Linked DNA regions of Callithrix jacchus. The protein of the gene in region 1 purifies or fractionates together with the protein of each later gene. This does not show direct contact. Links are inferred from orthologs where the notes say so. Each region holds a gene or a part of one and is shown in the gene's direction. Other genes may lie near its edges. The genes, in order: EGLN1 and PTGES3.

Region 1 (4,241 bases):
GCTTCTTTAAGCTTGGAAGGCTATATCTCAAGGACTGAAGTTACAGTATATTCAAGTGATACACAAGCCTAGCACCGAATTTTCCACAGTAAGTGTTCGATAAAGACTGTTAAACTCTAAGTCACAGGCCTTTTTATTCTTAAGACAAATAACAGCAGAAACATCCTTGGCTTATTTATGGAAAGGTTTTTATGCTCTATAAAACAAAGAATTGTATCCATCAGCGTAGCACAGATTCTATTAAAAATAAATGTGAGAGTCGTTAATGTAGTAGTACTGCTCACTTACTACCAAAATTAACTTTTCAGGGATAATTCCATCAGTTTAAATTGGATATTGGAATAAGCACTCATTTGACTTGGTAGCCCAATCATGGGGGTTCGAACTCGGCGGGATTTCAAAGGTTTTAAAAATGTTTTTGATTTTAACCCTCAAATTTCATAACCTTTAAATTAGGTTGAAACGGGGCACAAGAGATTGGATTAACATCACAGTAATACTTATTTTTGTTCTTAACCATTTCACGGCTTCTTGAAATAGAGGCTGGATGGAGCAATGGAAAAAACAGCCTTGGAATCTGAGCGCCTGATTGCTGGATTCAGTCCCAGTCAGTTCTGCGTGACCTTGGGCAAGTTACTTTACTTCTCTGAATTTCCGTTTCCTCCTCTACAAAATGAGGATCACAGTAGCCACCTTGTAACCCTAACCCGAGCGCGCCTCGCACAACTCGCGCCCGCCTGCAGGAAGAGCAGCCATGATTACGCCGCCGCCGCCGCCGCTCCGCCACCCGCTCGCGGCCGGCGCCCTCCCCTAGCAGGTGTAGGCGCTGCCCGCGCGGCCCCACGCCTTTCCGCCGCTCGCGGGCCGGCCCCTCTGCGTCCCCGCGCAGGCCGCTGCGGGCTGAGGCAGCTCACCGGCCTCTGCGTCCCGGCCCCGCCCCGGGTGGACGGAGGGCGGGCGACCCGGCTCTGAGGCCGAGGTCCGGCCCCGCCAAGTGCGGAGGAGCGCAGGCGGCCCAGGCGCCGCGCCAGCGCCCAAGTGTGAGCGCGGCCCCCGCCCCTCGGCCCTCCCCCCGGCCCTCCCTCCGCCCCCTCCGCCCTCGCGCGCCGCCCGCCCGGGTCGCCGCGGGGCCGTGGTGTACGTGCAGAGCGCGCAGAGCGAGTGGCGCCCGCATGCCCTGCGCTCCTCCACAGCCTGGGCCGGGCCGCCCGGGACGCTGAGGCGGCGACGGCGGCCGAGGGGGCCGGTCTTACGCTCCCCAGGCCCGCGCGCCCGAGCCCAGGTTGCCGTTCGCCGCACAGGCCACGTTTTCTCAGCCCACGGCGGCGATGAGGCGCTAAGGCGGCCACCGGCTCTGCGCCGGAGCCTAGGACTCGGAAGCGGCCGGGCCGAGGGCGCGGGGTGCCGGCCTCCCTGAGGCGAGGGTAGCGGGTGCATGGCGCAGTAACGGCCCCGATTTCTCTCCCCGCTCCCCAGCCTCGGGCGAGGCCGTCCGGCCGCCACCCCTCCTGCTCGGGCGCAGCCGCCGCCGTTGCCGCCGCCGCCGCCATGGCCAATGACAGCGGCGGACCCGGCGGGCCGAGCCCGAGCGAGCGAGACCGGCAGTACTGCGAGCTATGCGGGAAGATGGAGAACCTGCTGCGCTGCAGCCGCTGCCGCAGCTCCTTCTACTGCTGCAAGGAGCACCAGCGTCAGGACTGGAAGAAGCACAAGCTCGTGTGCCAGGGCAGCGAGGGCGCCCTCGGCCACGGAGTGGGCCCGCACCAGCACTCCGGCCCCGCGCCGCCGGCTGCAGCGCCGCCGCCCAGGTCCGGGGCCCGGGAGGCCAGGAAGGCAGCGGCGCGCCGGGACAGCGCCTCCGGGGACGCGGCCAAGGCAAAGGCAAAGGCCAAGCCCGCGGCCGACCCCGCGGCGGCCGCGTCCCCGTCTCGCGCGGCCCCCGGCGGCCAGGCCTCGGCGGTGGCAGCGGAGGCCGAGCCCGGGAAGGAGGAGCAGCCGGCCCGCTCGTCGCTGTTCCAGGAGAAGGCGAACCTGTACCCCCCGAGCAACACGCCCGGGGATGCGCTGAGCCACAGCGGCGGCCTGCGGCCCAACGGGCAGACGAAGCCCCTGCCGGCGCTGAAACTGGCGCTCGAGTACATCGTGCCCTGCATGAACAAGCACGGCATCTGTGTGGTGGACGACTTCCTCGGCAAGGAGACCGGACAGCAGATCGGCGACGAGGTGCGCGCCCTGCACGACACCGGGAAGTTCACGGACGGGCAGCTAGTCAGCCAGAAGAGTGATTCGTCCAAGGACATCCGAGGCGATAAGATCACCTGGATCGAGGGCAAGGAGCCCGGCTGCGAAACCATTGGGCTGCTCATGAGCAGCATGGACGACCTGATCCGCCACTGTAACGGGAAGCTGGGCAGCTACAAAATCAATGGCCGGACGAAAGTAAGTGTGGGCTGCGGGTTTGCGCTGGACATGCCCTTCTCGGCGGGCAGCCCCTCTCGTGACGGTAACTGCCTAGGCTGAGGAGCAGCCTTCCTCTGTATAGAAAGGACTTTGTGTATAGCACCCCGTAAGGAAGACGGACAGAATTCGGGGTAACTGTTTGATCTGGTTAGCCGCTTTGTGTCCGCTGTTTTCCACTTACTGCCAGTCCACAGACTTCTCCGGCTAATTGCATAGTTTTCTGGCTAAACGTAGGCGCTTTAACTTTGCTACTTTCTTCTTTTCTTCCATTCCACTGTTAGTCACAATTCATTCCTTAGTGGCGTTTTAGCCACCCAGTGAGGGGGTGTTAGAGTACCACCCAAAGCAAGTCCTGATGCTGCATCTGTCTTGTGTTTGCATAAGCACTTAAATTTCCTGTGCTGTCTGAATCACTCGTCACATTTTGATTGAGAGTCAAACGCTGTGTTCAGTTAAGAATTTGCCGGCTGACCACAAAAAGGTAAATTTAAGCGTTTAGTCGAAAGACTCTCCATATTCAGGAAGAGCGTGGCTACTCCCCTCCCCCTCTTATAGCTCCTACCCTCTCCCTGTTCCTACTGTTTTGAAACCCATTACAAAAAGGGAAAAGAAGTATTTCCGTTTTCGGATCTCTCTGTGTAGGTAGGCTACATTTTTAGCATTGGTTTCCTTTATTTGCTTTGTTAATGTTATCCTTCTGTTGAAAAAGAACTGTTTTGTAGCTTCCTGGAAAAAACAACACGAAATTGGAGCAGGAGGACTTGTTTTATCCTCCCAATTTGGTGAGATCTTTTTGTTTTCTCTTTACTGTTGCGTTTTTTTCTCCACAGATTTCTTCACTTCCTACCTAGTCTATTTTCTCTTTTTCTCCCTCACGGTGCACTCTTTCTTCCTTAATACTCTCTTGCAGGTCTTATTCATTTTGCTTCTCAGATCTTGATCTTTTCTTTATATCCAGCTACTCCCAGGCCTCCCTCCTCCACCATCAGTCTCTGTCTGATTTTGTGAGTTTTGAGAGATGGACTTGGGAGAGCATCACACTTACATGTTTGTACACACATGCTGACTCTTCCCAGTGGTTTTTTTGGAGTGTGTGTGAGACCATCTGTTTTGACAGTCATTACATGTGATTCTCAGGCTGCTCGGAAGGCTGAACATAGGCAATGAGAAAAATTATAAACATGAAAATTTTGTGGGGAAAAATACAATGTGGAGTCTCATTTACGTATTGCCACTTCATTGCTGGGTGAAGGCACACATCTTAATTTCATGTAGTCTTACGAACAGTTGAATCATATTAAACTGGAAGGAAAAGGGGGATCTGATGAAATCTCAGCCTTGGTCTTTTACTAGCTTTTCATTGATACTTTTAAAAATGAACGTTGTCATGGAACACATCTGAACATAAGTCCTGAGCTCAGAGCAGGAAAGAAATTAGTTTGAGGGAACAGGGCTGTGAAGACTGACCAAAGTATATAGTTGGGACATAAGTTTAAATTGGATTCTTGAAGATGATGTCCCAAATCTTTCTTGATCTGCTTTCCTTAGTTAATTTAGCTTTCCAAGTCCTTTCACCTGTCATTCTTAGATAAGGGACAGCAGACAGCCTGGCTCTGAGAGCAGTTGCTTCTGGTAGGGATGCTATTAGAAAATAGCTACTGCCTTCCTCAAGAGTTCTAGTATTTGGGGTTTTAAGTCACCTAACTGTACCTAGTAACAGGTAATAAGGGACTGGATGAAGAAGGGATGGCCTTTAAACTCTTTGGATTTGATCTTATGCT
Region 2 (3,809 bases), on another chromosome or scaffold:
CTTTTTTACTTACCATGGTAGAACTTTGATGCCTCATTCCTCATGTATTACAAATAGATTTTTTTTTTTTTTTTTTTTTTTGGAGACAGTTTCTCTCTTGTTACCCAGACCTGGAGTACAATGGCACGATCTCGGCTCACTGCAGCCTCTGCCTTCTGGGTTCAAGCAATTCTCCTGCCTCAGCCTCCCGAGTAGCTGAGACTACAGGCGTGCACCACCATGCCCAGCTAATTTTTGTCTTTTTAGTAGAGATGGGGTTTCACTATTGGCGAGGCTGGTCTCTTTGGTCACGCTGGTTTTGAACTCCTGACCTCATGATCCGCTCGACTCAGGCTTTCTCACTGCAACCTCTGCCTCCAGGGTTAAAGCAGTTCATCTGTTTCAGCCTTCTGAATAGCTGGGATTACAGGCATCCGCCACAACGCACAGCTAATTTTTTTGTTTTTTTTTTTTTTTTTTTTGAGACAGTTTCGCTCTTGTTACCCAGGCTGGAGTACAATGGCGCAATCTCAGCTCACCGCAACCTCTGCCTCCTGGGTTCAGGCAATTCTGCTCCCTCAGCCTCCTGCGTAACTGGGATTACAGGGACGCGCCACCATGCCCAGCTAATTTTTTATATATTTTTTAGTAGAGACAGGGTTTCACCATGTTGACCAGGATGATCTCCATCTCTTGAGCTCGTGATCCATCTGCCTCGGCCTCCCAAAGTGCTGGGATTATAGGCGTGAGCCACTGTGCCTGGCCATTTTTTTGTATTTTTAATAGAGAGAAAGTGTTTCATCACGTTGGCCAGGCTGGTGTCGAACTCCTGACTTCAAATGATCCACCCGCCTCAGCCTCCAGAAGAGCTGGGGATTATAGGCGTGAGCCACCACGCCCTGCCCCATTTGTAGTTTTAATGTATTAGCAAATTTGTATAAAGGGTCAGCCATTAAATATTAGGCATTACAGGCCACAACTATTTGGGACTACAGGCCTGTGTCACCATGCCCAGCTAAGTTTTTTTCTTTTTCTTTTTCGTATTTTTAATAGAGATGGGGTTTTGGTTGCTGGCCAGGCTGGTCTCAAGCTCTGGTGGCCTCAAGTGGTCCTCCTGCCTTGGTCTCCCAAAGTGCTGGGATTACAGGCGTGAGCCACTGTACCTGGCCAAGTAATTTTTTTTATAGGACTGGATAAATTGTTTGGTTTTTAAATCCCTTCTATTATGAAATTGGAATCATTCTGAAACTAAATATTGTTAGAGCCCTATTTTTGCTTTTGAGACAAGAGTCTTGCTCTGTAGTGCAGGCTGGAGTGCAGTGACACCATCTCAGCTCACTGCAACATCCACCTCCCAGTCTGGTTCAAGCAATTCTCCTGCCTCGGCCTCCCGAGTGGCAGAGATTATAGGCACGTGCCACGGTTCGCAGCTAATTTTTGTATTTTTAGTAGAGATAGGGTTTCACCATGTTAGCCAGGCTGGTCTTGAACTCCTGACCTCGTGATCTGCCTACCTTGACCTCCCAAAGTGCTGGGGTTACAGGCATGAGCCACAGCACCTGGCCACAGTGCCCTGTTTTAACTTGGAATGTAGCCGTTAGGGTAAAACTGTAGTTAATGTAATGAACTGCCCCAAAATAATGCTATGATGGTATAGAGAAATATGTTTACTTACACAATAAATGTTTAAGGTTAGTATGTAAATGTAATCAATTCCAGCTTGACTTTCCCTACTTTATCCTTTTATAGGCAACCTGCTTCTGCAAAGTGGTACGATCGAAGGGACTATGTCTTCATTGAATTTTGTGTTGAAGACAGTAAGGATGTTAATGTAAATTTTGAAAAATCCAAACTTACATTCAGGTAAATTAAACTTCTTATCTAATGATGTAAAATAGTTATTCACACAACTGAATAACTTTGACTTGCTTGTTTTCATTGATCTTAGATTCTCTGACGAGGCTTAATTCTTTTCTTTTTTATTTTATACAGTTGTCTTGGAGGAAGTGATAATTTTAAGCATTTAAATGAAATTGATCTTTTTCACTGTATTGATCCAAATGTAAGTAGTCTTGATGCTTTAATCCAGATTTAAGTTGTGAGGAAATGGACATACTTCAAGTACTGTTTTTAGCAGTAAGCATTGGTTCTGTTGTTTTGTTTTGTGTTTGAGACAGTCTTGCTCTGTTGCCAAGCTGGAGTGCAGTGGTGCGATCTCCGCTCACTGCAACCTCCACCTCCTGGGTTCAAGCAATTTTTCTACCTCAGCCTCCTGAGTAGCTGGGACTACAGGTGCGTGCCACCATACCCAGCTAATTTTTGTATAGAGATGGGATTTTACTATGTTGGCCAGGATGGTCTTGATTAGTTGACCTCATGATCTGCCCTCCTCAGCCTCCCAGTGTGCTGGGATTACAGGCATGAGCCACCGCACTCAGTCTGTTCTTTGTTTTGAGACAGTTTCGCTGTTGCCAGGCTGGAGTGCAGTGGCACAATCTCAGCTCATTGCAACCTTCGCCTCCTGCGTTCAAGCGATTCTCCTGCCTTAGCTTGGGATTACAAGCGCCTGCCACCACACCCAGCTAATTTTTGTATTTTTAGTAGAGACGGCGTTTCACTGTGTTTACCAGGATGGTCTCTCTTGATTTCGTGATTTGCCCACCTCTGCCTCTCAAAGTGCTGGGATTACAGGCATGAGCCACTGTGCCTGACCAGTTCTGTATTTCATAACAGTTGAGGCAAACTACATATATTTATATTTTGTAGTATTTCCTCCAAAATAGGTGCCCGGGCTGTTCTGTTTTTCTTAACAGTTGAGGCAACCTATGTATATTTATGTTTTGTAGTAGTAGTTCCTCCAAAATAGGTTTCTGCATACTTTTTGTTTTTGCTGTCACTGTTTGGGCTTAGAGTAGTATCCTTGAAGCTTGTCTTGTCTGTGTGTGTGTGTGTGTTGTCTTGTTTTTGAGACAATTTTGCTCTTGTTGCCCAGGCTGGAGTGCAATGGCGCAATCTATGCTCACCACAACCTCTGCCTCCCAGGTTCAAGCGATTCTCCAGCTTTAGCCTCCTGAGTACCTGGGATTACAGGCATGCACTACCATGCCTGGCTTTATGTTGTATTTATAATAGAGACAGGTTTTCTCCATGTTGATGAGGCTGGTCTTGAATTCCTGATCTCAGGTCACCCACCTGCCTTGGTCTCCCAAAGTGCTGGGATTACAGGTTTAAGCCACCATGTCCAGCTGAGGCTTGTCTTATTTAGGAGTAGAATTGTTAGGCCAGGCACAGTAGCTCACGCTTGTAATCCCAGCACTTTGGGAGGCTGAGGCGGGCAGATCACAAGGTCAGGGGTTCAAGACCAGCCTGACCAACATTGTGAAACCCTGTTTCTACTAAAAAATACAAAAATCAGTTGGGCGTGGTGGCGTGCCCTGTAATCCTAGCTACTCAGGAGACTGAAGCAGGAGAATCACTTGAATCCAGGAGGGGCAGAGGTTGTAGTGAACTGAGATTGTGCCACTGCACTCCAGTCTGGGCAACAGAGCGAGACTCCATCTCAAAAAAAAAAAAAAAAAAAAAAAAAAAGAAGAATAGAATCTTTAAACCAATCCATGGTTATATCATTTTTACTTTAAGTTTTTAAGGTTTTATTCTATTTACTGTGTGCAGGGAAGAAAAAAATGGTACCAGGTTAAACTGGAAACTTTGTAGTTGTTTTTGTACAGATTATTTCAGTAGGAAATAGGAAAAAATAAAAAATTTAAAGAAATGTAACATAGGGGTTTCAGGCAGTTGGATAGTTTGAAGTTTTTAGTAGTCAAGGGCAT

What was found.
Region 2: the proteins of EGLN1 (region 1) and PTGES3 purify together in Homo sapiens (affinity purification with mass spectrometry; 5 studies listed by BioGRID and IntAct, with this or other methods). This does not show direct contact. The link is inferred for Callithrix jacchus from reciprocal best matches to the Homo sapiens genes EGLN1 and PTGES3.

Annotation. Positions count from the first base shown.
Region 1 is NC_133520.1:53,463,461-53,467,701, forward strand, and holds the start of EGLN1 (egl nine homolog 1), read left to right. Parts: upstream 1-1,137; 5' UTR 1,138-1,548; coding exon 1,549-2,439; intron 2,440-4,241. UniProt on the Homo sapiens protein: Cellular oxygen sensor that catalyzes, under normoxic conditions, the post-translational formation of 4-hydroxyproline in hypoxia-inducible factor (HIF) alpha proteins.
Region 2 is NC_133510.1:62,979,903-62,983,711, forward strand, and holds part of PTGES3 (prostaglandin E synthase 3), read left to right. Parts: intron 1-1,728; coding exon 1,729-1,842; intron 1,843-1,971; coding exon 1,972-2,041; intron 2,042-3,809. UniProt on the Homo sapiens protein: Cytosolic prostaglandin synthase that catalyzes the oxidoreduction of prostaglandin endoperoxide H2 (PGH2) to prostaglandin E2 (PGE2).